Mus musculus: one gene and its partners. The protein of the gene in region 2 interacts with the protein of the main gene of each other region in a biochemical or structural test. Links are inferred from orthologs where the notes say so. Each region holds a gene or a part of one and is shown on either strand. Other genes may lie near its edges.

What was found. The genes of interacting proteins can lie anywhere in the genome.
Region 1: the proteins of Smurf2 (region 2) and Smad2 form a complex in vitro, tested with the Homo sapiens proteins (3 studies listed by BioGRID and IntAct, with this or other methods). The link is inferred for Mus musculus from reciprocal best matches to the Homo sapiens genes SMURF2 and SMAD2.
Region 3: the proteins of Smurf2 (region 2) and Rnf11 form a complex in vitro, tested with the Homo sapiens proteins (3 studies listed by BioGRID and IntAct, with this or other methods). The link is inferred for Mus musculus from reciprocal best matches to the Homo sapiens genes SMURF2 and RNF11.

Annotation. Positions count from the first base shown.
Region 1 is NC_000084.6:76,300,599-76,304,250, reverse strand, and holds part of Smad2 (mothers against decapentaplegic homolog 2), read right to left. Parts: intron 2,173-3,652; coding exon 2,035-2,172; intron 1,869-2,034; coding exon 1,724-1,868; intron 1-1,723. UniProt on the Homo sapiens protein: Receptor-regulated SMAD (R-SMAD) that is an intracellular signal transducer and transcriptional modulator activated by TGF-beta (transforming growth factor) and activin type 1 receptor kinases.
Region 2 is NC_000077.6:106,823,104-106,826,755, forward strand, and holds part of Smurf2 (E3 ubiquitin-protein ligase SMURF2), read right to left. Parts: intron 1,708-3,652; coding exon 1,506-1,707; intron 1-1,505. UniProt on the Homo sapiens protein: E3 ubiquitin-protein ligase which accepts ubiquitin from an E2 ubiquitin-conjugating enzyme in the form of a thioester and then directly transfers the ubiquitin to targeted substrates.
Region 3 is NC_000070.6:109,452,456-109,456,107, forward strand, and holds the end of Rnf11 (RING finger protein 11), read right to left. Parts: intron 1,968-3,652; coding exon 1,796-1,967; 3' UTR 402-1,795; downstream 1-401. UniProt on the Homo sapiens protein: Essential component of a ubiquitin-editing protein complex, comprising also TNFAIP3, ITCH and TAX1BP1, that ensures the transient nature of inflammatory signaling pathways. Promotes the association of TNFAIP3 to RIPK1 after TNF stimulation.

The DNA.
Region 1 (3,652 bases), on a different chromosome or scaffold from region 2:
CCTCGGTTCCTCAGTCCCAGCACCCCCATCTCCACCCACGATGGTGTTATACACACTCACAGCCATGGCTGGTTCTTTTGGGTGCTAGAGCTTCACACTCAAATCCTTGTACTTGCCAATTTTTGAGCTCTACCAACTGAGCCATCTCCCCAGAATTCCATCTTTTTGAAAGATTTACAAAAACATCCTTTTTTTCTGAAGTTAAATTAGTCTACTGATACTATTATTTAACTAACACCTCAAATGATACACCTATAGGAGAAAATTTAGGTACTACTTAGTAATGAGGCTGGGAGGAGAGACAAAAACCCGAAAAGATTGCCCCAAGTAAACTGACACATATGGAGCCCTACTTTTACACATATCCATGAAATCTAACTGGAACAAGGCTCAAATTTAAAGTCTGCTGACCCAAGCTAAATCCTTGCCATACAATGTTAAGACTTGAAGCTACAATTCTCTAAGACACACAATAAGCAACATCCTTGTCAGTAACATCCCTCAGGCTTCTAGTTTAAAAAGCAAAATTAAAACCTTCTAATGCTTTAACAAAGGGACCACTGCCTACTCCCTGGATCACAGAACATTGTTACCCTATTCTCCGACACTGGACTTAGCTCTATCTTATTTGTTACACAGAGTCAGTCAATACAATTACTTTTGCTTCTTCAACATGATATTCTTCAATCATGATAAAAGGCCATTATCAGCTCTCCATCTCTAAACAATTCATGCCCAATAGAATTTAGGACTAGATACCCAAGAGGCTGATGGCTCTGCAGGGAAGAATATGCCATGCTCTTTTAGAGGACCAAGTTTAGTTACCAGGACCCACATATGGCAACTCATAAACACCTGTAACTCCAGCTCTAGGGGATCTACAACCCTCCTCTGGATTTCACAGGCACTGTTATTCACACAAGCACAGACCCATATATACACATGATATACACATAATTAAAAGCACTGTAAGGGAAGCTCAGTGCCTAAGCATATATGCAGTACTCTTTATCACATGCTATCAACCCAGTAGAAGCCTGGGTTTTCAGTATGCTCTAGCCAACTTCCAAGTACAGGCGTCTGGTTTTCTACACACAAGAATTTCTGCCAGGCTTGCACGTGTAGCAGACTGGGAGATACAGTTCACTAACACCAGCAGACTGGAGAATGCAGAGTGAGACCACCGATGAGGGGGACTACACTCAGATGTTCTCAACGAAACTGTTCAATCTTACTTTTATCCTCCTTCTAATCAGAGGGCTGCTCTGCTGCCAGACTGACACTGCCTTTTCTATCTCCTGAAACTCTCCATGTATCCTCTAGAACCCAGGTCTCGTGCCATTCCAATCAGGAAACTTCCCTTGAGCACAAAGTAGACACCTCTGGTTTCATAAAGTGCCTGTTTAAATCCAATTTAGTCTCCTCTTCTATAATACAGTCATTTCAAGTTTCTTATCTACAGGCCTCATGCAATTCATGCATGGCCATGAACTCCCAGACACATCCCAACACCTCGATTATGTGTTTCCAAGGATTAAATCCAGCACTTCACACAGGACACACAAGCACTCCACTAACTGAGTTATATACTTAGCCCTCTTTCTTTTATTATTTTATATAAAGATCTGTTGAAAACAGACATACATGAACTACAGAAGATACAAAGAAGAGAATAAAAATAATCACAGTGGAGAAAGTCGAAACTTGAACGGGGGAGTCATACCGATATTCTGCTCCCCAGCCCTTCACAAAACTCATTCTTATGGTGCACATTCGGGTTAGCTGATAAACGGCTTCAAAACCCTGGTTGACAGACTGAGCCAGAAGAGCAGCAAATTCTTGGTTGTTGAAGATCTTCAGGTTACAGCCTAAAATTGAGAAACAGTAAAATATATTATGAAAAAATATTTTTAAAAGGATCCATGTTTTAGAATGAGCATGCAAATCAGCTCCTAATTCCTAAAGCCATGAGCAACTAGCGAAGTTAATGAAGCAAGTGAGATGAGAGGTTTATTTACAGGGTTGAATCCATACCTGGTGGGATCTTACACACTGTTGCAGGGTGCCAGCCGTATCTCTGGTTACAGTTGGGGCTCTGCACAAAGATTGCACTATCACTTAGGCACTCAGCAAACACTTCCCCACCTATGTAATACAAGCGCACTCCCCTTCCTAAAACAAAGCACAGGTGATTAGCTTCAGAAGGCTTGCTCTCTTCCGTGGGCCTGCACATCATGCAGAACCAGTTCTGAGGCATTTCCATGACTTTCGCTCAGTCATGCTTTCCTCAACTACAATTCCAAAATATACCACAGCATTGCATCTTTCTCTAGGATTTTTAACAATTTTGACTTTTCGAAGTAATGCTCATAAAAATATTTCAATGATATAGGAAAGTATATGGTAATGAGATGGTTTCATTCAAATTACCTGTTGTTTTAAAATTCACTTAAAAATTGAGTTAATTTTGAGTAAATTAACTAATGTCTGGGCAAATTTTCCACTAAGTTAAGAAAAGACTTAAAAAAAAATAAAAAAGATCATGTCTACCCTGTTACGTAACCGCCTACTTTGCAGTGCAAACACACACTAGGTTAACAGACTTTCCTAAGTAGCAGCAGCTGCTTTCGTTATGGGGCAGAGGGAATAACCAGTCAAACCAACAGCAAACCACAGGTAGAGGATAAACACAGATGCTGCCATTCTACTGTCTTAAGACTATGTGAGGGGCTGGAGAGATGGCTCAGTGGTTAAGAGCACTGACTGCTTCCAAAGGTCCCGAGTTCAAATCCCAGCAACCACATGATGGCTCACAACCACCCATAACGAGATCTGACGCCCTCTTCTGGAGTGTCTGAAGACAGCTATGGTGTCTTTAATAAATGACTAAATTAATAATTAATGAACAAATCTTTAAACCTCAATCTTGCATTGAGCTCTGAGTGAAGGATGAGGGTCAGGCCCGGAGGATACACTCAGAGGGCAGTGTGCCTGACAAACAGTCCTGGAAACCCTCACACACAGAGGTGCGTGGGAGGGGCGGGAGGGATCGCAGTTAAGTACAAAAGTCGACTTTTCAGATAATTCCCTGACCAAATCACATAAGAAGCTAGCAAAAGTTTTTTTAAAAATATAAAAGATAAAATTATAGTAAAGTAAAATTCAGTTGGGTGACATGAAAAAGGGCAGAGTAAACTAATATTCTTTAAAATAAAATGGTCTCATTAAAACACAAAAACACGGACAATAAAAACCTATGTGAGTCACTCAGGGAGGCTATCACAGCCTGTATCTGCAGCGCTGTCTGACCTGCTCAGCAAGATGGTCCAAAGTAACAAGGTCTGCGCAGCTCAGACAAAGCCACCCGTACATTTACTAGCTGCTACCATTTACAATGTCAGCATTAATTTCTGGTAATCAATGTCATTTCTCAGGTGAGGAAACGGTTGATCCCGACGAGGCAGAAGTAAGCTGAGGTTGGAGAAGGGATCAGTGATGCTCGCTATCTGTAGTTCTATACTCTTTGCCTTGTTGGTTAAAAAATACTAAGCTCCCCAGACAATTTATGTATATGCATACTATAATCATGGAAATTTACCACATTAGATGTGTAAACTGAGATAAAAACTTAAAACAACAAGTCTATTAATGC
Region 2 (3,652 bases):
GAAGGAATGTGGGTCAGATCACAGCAGGCACACGAACCCATCTCCAAAGCCTCAGAATAGATGAGAACATAAGCCACAGGAGCTGGGGAGCACCTTGTATCCACACACACCAACTTGGGGGCGCATAGGAAAAGGAGCCTGGCTTTGAGGTTGTAAGTGACATGTGTTTAAGGCCAGGTGCCATAGCATCAGCAGTGCTGTCTGAGCAAAAGGCTTAACCGATGTCCCTCTGCCAACAAAACACGTGCCACAGAATATTTGCATCCCAAGCAATAAGAACACACTAGGTTTGCTTTTCTTTTCCTCTCTGTAACCTTGGCTGTCTTGGAATTCCCTCTGTAGACCAGGTTGGCCTCTGCCTCCCAAGTGCTGGGATTAAAGACCTGTGCCACCACCCACCACTGCCTGGCCTTTTTTTTTTTTTTTTGTGGTTTTTCAAGACAGGCTTTCTCTGTATAGTCCTGGCTGTCCTGGAACTCACTTTGTAGACCAGGCTGGCCTTGAACTCAGAAATCCGCCGGCCTCTGCCTCCCGAGTGCTGGGATCAAAAGCGTGCGCCATCACACCCGGCTTTTTTTTTTTTTTTTTTTTGAAATAGAATCTTGCTATGTAGTTCAAGATAGTCTTAAACTCAAGATCCTCCTGCCTCAGCTTCCAGAAGACTAGGATTATAGGCATATGCTATTATGCTTAAAATATACATTTGCATCCTATTTTAAAAGATGACTAACGCAAATTTAGACTTATGACTCAAGCTGAGCTTAAGCAAAGATTAGCAGTCTAGAGGATACACTTTCAGTCAGCACACATGCCCCATACAAACACAGAAGAGAAGACGACACCACGCTCCCCAAAAGGAGAACACAACGTCAGGCAGCTTTGCCCAGGCTTTCTGAGCGCTCTGTGGGCAACTGCTGATGAGTTCTGACTAGTCCCGCTTTGCGGATTCTCCCTCCTCTCCAGCAGTTTTGAAAAGGAAGCGCTGAAAGGTGAAGGAAGCAATGGCCACTGAATGATCCACCACAATCATCAGCAATGTTACCAACTCAAGCAAAATGCAACAGCTTATCCCACAGAAAAGCAATCCTAAACAATTTAAGATGGTCTGAAGTCATATAGTAAATAAAGCGCTCTGAACAAACAACTGGCTAAAAGAAAGGCAGAGGAGGCATCTTAGGTGAGTAAAGGTTTTGCCAAGCTGAGATGTCAACATGGAGGTGAATGACCTTCCCTACAGAAGTAAAGCAGGGTGACCACAAGGTACAAAACAGAGCATCAGTACCTAGGCTCCAACCTACATTCCACAGCGCACTCTGTGATCACAGAGAAGCCTGTCAGAACCCTCTCCAGAAGGAGCTGCGAAGGCAGTTCCATGCAGGAGCTAGTCAGAGATCTTTATAAGCACAGGGCTTATAAAACTGCAACATACCCCAGACAACGTGATTCTCTCCACCCATGCACGAGTAGATGCCAGGTACCTGTGTGCCCATCCCATGACACCTCACCTTGTAGTGCTTTGAAGCCCTGCAGAGGCACTCGAGAGGACCCTGTCACAAACTGGAGCAACCGTGCTCGTCTCTCTTCATCAAAAAACTCCACCGCTTTCCAGAACCACTTGACGACATTGCTGTCTGGGGTACAGTGTTTTAACCGGGTGTTGACCTTCCAGTCACTCACATCAATTTTGCCAAGTCCACAAATAATGAGCTGTTGAAATATTTGCAGGAGTGGTAAGCCAGTGGGCATCAAAGCTGCGCCTCCCAAGTCGTCTTAGATTAGCAGTGAGCATCCCACAGGCGCACAGCTGCACTACCTGGAAAGCTTTCAGAACAGACCCAACAGACCCTGTGCTGCAGAGACTGTAACTCTGTCTGCTGGCAGTCAGCTCGGAATCCTTTCTTTTTTCTTTCTTTTTTTTTTTGGAGACAGGGTTTTTCTCTGTGTAACCTTAGCTAACCTGGAACTCACTCTCTTGAACAGGCTGGCTTCAATCTCAGAGACTTGCCTGCCTCTGTCTCTCCAGCTCTGTCATTAAAGGCAAGTGACACCACTGCTCTGTATCTTTAAATCTCCAGAAGTATCTACTCATTGTAGGTCCTGTCCCCAGTGTCTGATAATCACTGTAATGGACTCTGACAAGAACAAAGAGTTGTAAAAACTCCAGTTCAAAATAGAATTCTAAAATTTTAAAACATTAGACAAAAATCAAGACTCAGTAAACACAAGCTGGGCGTAACACACCATGCTTATCATCCCAGCACTAAAGAGGCTGAGGCAGGAGGATCAACATGAGTTTAAGGCTAGCTTGAGCTACTACCTTGTCTCCAAAAGAGGATGAGAAGAAATAATACTACAGGTTTCTCTGTGCCTTTCTTAGGTCTGCACTGATTTACATTCATTTTAACACTGTTAGCTTACAATCTGAGGCAATTCATCAGCCTGCAGTGTTCTTTGCTCTAATATCACAGTCACCTCTACCTCATTTTACCTGTGAAAATGATCCAGAGTGTACCACAAGAAACATGTTGGATATGTAACATAATTCACTTAACTAACAACTTTGACATTATATTAAAATGTAAATACTTGAGGGCCAGGCGTTGTGGCACACACTTTTAAACTCAGCATTCAGGCAGAGGCAGAGCTGCTGAGTTGGAGGTCAACCTGGTCTACACAAAGTGAGTTCCAGAACAGCCAATGCTACCTAGAGAAACCTTTGTCTTGAAAAAAAAAATACATGAATTCTGCTATAGTGTCCACTTGACATCCTAATACAATCAATATTTAAGAACTATACTAAAGTCATTTTGATACTAACATGTCTCTACAGATTAAAATATACACATACACACATATATAACTAGTTTGCTTTATTCATTTAATTGTATGTAGGTAGGTAGGTAGGTAGGTAGGTAGGTATACATGAACACAAGCTACAATACACAGGTGGAATTCAGAGGACAACTTTCAGGAATCATTTTTCTCCTACCATCTAGGGTCTGGGAATTGAACTCAGGTCATCAGATTTGTTGGCATGTGGCCTCACCTGTCAAATCATCTTGAGACCCCAATCAACAGTTTATCAGGGAATTCTAACAGTGTGTAAGCTATAATTTAATCTATATAGTTCACATTTCAATAGTGACAAAACTACACTGTAAGCCAGGCGTGGTGGCACATGCCTTGAATCCCAGTACTCTGGAGGCAGAGGCAGCGGATTTCTGAGTTGGAGGCCAGCCTGGTCTACAAAGTGAGTTCCAGGACAGCCAGGGCTACACAGAAAAACAAACAAACAAACAAACAAAAAACCCTACACTGTAAATCTTGCCCACCAAATAAAATTCACCTCCCAAAAGGGTGGTCTGAATATGTATGGCCCATAGGGAATGGTACTGTTGGGAGAAGTGGCCTTGTTGGAGGAAGCGTGTCGTTGTGGGGTGGGCTTTGAAGCTCCACCCAGTGTGGAAGGGTCAGTCTGCTCCTGGCTTCCTTTGGGTGAAGCTGTAGAACTCTCAGCTCCTCCAGCATCATCCCTGCCTAGACACTGCCATGCTTCCACCTTGATGATAATGGACTGAACCTGTAAGCCATCCCCAATTAAATGTCCTTTATAAGAGTTGTCTTGGTCATAGTGTCTCTTCACAGCAATTAG
Region 3 (3,652 bases), on a different chromosome or scaffold from region 2:
AAAGTCTGACTATAATACTTGATGACACACAAGTGTATAATTAGAAAACATAAGAATTTAAAAAGAGTTATCACTAAAAATATGGCACAACTTCAGCTGTTTCCTCCAAATTTACTTTATAATTGGATGGATATAAATTAATGAACAGAAATTAAGCAAGATATACGAGACAATTTAACAGAACCTGATAGTCTAATTTCAGTATTTCCAAGTTCATCTTTAAATATTTCCATCATGGGATCTACTGGGAATCTAAGCAATGTATGACTGCTTCAACTCAATGTCAATTAACTATTTATGACATAATTTCTTCTACACCGCAATTATGAAGAACCTTCAAGAAACTTTTGTATGTAAAAAAGTGTTAGTCAAGTACTCAACACAATATAAAAGAACATTTCTCATTTGTAAGGTGGAGAGCGCTTCTGCTCATCATTTTTTAACCACAATATCACTGAGTGGAAGGAACGAATCACCTGGAGAACATAAGGAAAATAAACACATGCTAAATGAATAAAACATTACACTTTACTAGACCATTTCTACCTCTAATCCTTCAGAAGTGCAGAGATTTAGAGTATTCTTACATTAATTGCAAGAAAAAATAAAGGAGAAGTTCCTTTGAGATCACAACTATGAAGTCATGTGGTTATACAAACCCTGCTGCATTGGTGTGCAAAACATAACACATTTGCCTCTCCTGTCAGTCACCTAGCAAGACTGAACAGGTACTTTTCTAGGAAACACACCAGATGTGTTTCTGTAACTTCAATAACCTCAGCACTACAGTAACAAGAGATGCAGTATCCTTTTGCTATGGTTCCAGACAGTGGGGAAAGAGGTCACAGGAAAGAGAATCAAAACTGTTACAGATGAGAAACTGTTTCTTTAAGTTTCATCATGGTGCCACCTTCGTTTTTATATAAGCATGGTGGCATAATTCAAAGCTCAACAAATCAGAAATATTAATATTTGAATTTCAACTTGACTTTCAATTATCACCATATTAACCACCAAAACAATAAGATAAGACACACAAGGAAAGGGATATCAAATCCACTTTGCTAGCCTTGTTTCCTGACACATCAACTCATTCTTAATAGAAAAGGGATAGTGCATCTCAGTTTGCTTACAAGCTAGGAGATCACTGTGAATTCTGCATTTCCTAACTGCAAACAGAATATAGCACTTACAACAGGTTATAAATAAACTGGTTTTCAAGCATAGAGCCAGCCCCAACGATAATAATACACTATTTAAAAAGACCTAAGGCAATGAATTCCATTTCCAATGGAAAAAAAGAACTGTGCAAACAAGCTTAAAACTACTATTTTTTTTTTTTTGTGCCAGTGTTATAAAATGTAGCTTTTAATAAAACCTTGACCCAAATGTCAGTAACTTTTCAGAAAAGAATTTGGGTGGGAGAAGAAACTTATTTCATTTAGGAAAAATAACAACTATCTTTTTCCTAAGCTTCAACACACACAATTTAAACATGTACAGTTGCTGTAACACTTTACACAATTCCTATGTACTGGAGCAAGAACAAGGTCTAATAACAATTATATTTTAAACACTGGGTCAAGGCTTTACATAAAAATACCATCCATCCTACTTTCCCCCTAAATTTCTAAAATATCACATACTTCCCTCAACATCTGCAGCCATCCAGGAATTTTTAGGAAACTTTTGTGCATGATCTTAATTCCTAATCCCTGGCTCTTTGGGCTCAGTGACAAAAGATCAAAACCACCAAAACTGATGGTTCACTTGAAGTCAGACGAGAGACCCTGGCTCAATTAGTCTCATAGGATGAAAGCAGTGCTGCATCCACTGGCTCCATGCAGGAGGGGCACGTGAAGGATCTCATCAACCAGTCATCTATACAGTCCAGGTGATAGATGTGCATGCACGGCAGAAATCGAATTGGGTCCCCATAAACAAAGTCCATCATACAGATCACACACCTGAGGGAGCAAAGAAGAAATCAGAAAATTTCACATAAGTGAAACAGTGTTAATGTTAATCTAAATACACACAAGCAAAATATTCATATACCTAAAACTTTTTTTTAAAGTTTCCCTGTTATCTCATTACCAAAGCATGAAAACTGATTTTTTTCCTAACATGCACTGAAACATTCATATTATTTCATTTTGATTTCTTAATTTATTATAAGCATTGAAAGCAACTAAAATGAGCAAAGAAAAACAGACTATGTTAAGGATCAAACCCATACTGTGCCTAAACTTGTTACACATTACAAGAGACATCTACTGTGAGCTTTAGGGAGGAAATTACATCCATTGCTTCCTTACAGAGTTTTCAAAGTAATCAGGAATAATACAAACAGAATGACTATGCCTGGAGTGGTAGGACACTGAAATCAGTATTCTGGACAAAGAAGTAGGTGGATCTCTCTGAGTTTTACTCCAGCTTGATCTACATAGAGTTCTAGGCCAGCCAGGGCTGCATAACAGAAGGCTGTCTCAAAAACAAAGCAAAAGAAAAAAGCAAAAGAGAATGACTGATCCAGTCTACTGTGTGTGCTCCAAGTTAAAACTGTCTCCATTAATTCACTTTCAAGTCCACTACACTTTTCTACAGGTTGAAGAAACCCAATTCTACAGAGATCCAAAACCAATGCTCTAAACAGACTTTGCTCCTAAGTGCCAGTATTAATTAAATGGTGCTATAGCTCAAACAGACAAACATTAAGCCCATTTGGTCTGTGTTTGTTGGTAAAGCCATTCTTAATTAGAATAGCTGTCCCTATTAAATCAAGACAATAAAATTACTCATCAGGCTTGAAAAAAATTACTTTCTTAAGTTATGAAAGATCTCTTGTGTCACTAAAAACTTGAATAGTCTTAATTGTTGCTGTAACTATCACCCATAGACCTATGTGTATGGATACTTGGACCCCCTTATGACATTGTTTGGCAGGTTTTAAAAAACCCTTTAATTGGAGCCTATTAGCCATCTTGTGCTAGTTTTTGGAGAGAACCACAATTGAGAAAATTCCTCCAGATTGGCCTGTGGGGACTCAGATCTACAGAGGTTTTTCTTTTAAATTAAATTAATGATGGCTATGGGAGGGCCTGGACCACTGAGCAGTGCAACCTCTGGGCATGTGGTTCCTGGGTAGTCTAAAAAGGCAAGTTGAAGACACCATATTGGGAGTAAGCCAGGAAGCATGGTTTCTCCCTGGTCTCTGCCTCAGTTTCTTTCTTAGCTTCCCTTGATGACTATAAACCAAATAACCTTATTTTTTTCTCCAAGTAGCTTTGGTCAGTGCAGTAGAAAGTTACTAACATTCTGTTTTTCCAGTTTAGTTCTCAGCTGCTTGTCTGTTAGCACAATGTGAGCAGTGATCTCACAGACCCACCAACACAGACAAGATTAAGTCTTGTTGCTAGGCTTTTCCTACCATGACAGAGTTCCATGAACTCATGAGTCAGAACAAAGCCTTTTTCCCTTAAAGCTTTGTCAGTTATTTTACTACAGTGAGAAAAATAAGACAGCCATATACCTAAGAAAGTATTTCTTTTCACTTTTTCTTTTTTTTTCTGATACAGGGTTTCTTTATGTAGTCCTGGCTGTCCTAGAGATTGCTGTGTAGACCAGGCTGGCCTCAGAAATCCATATGCCT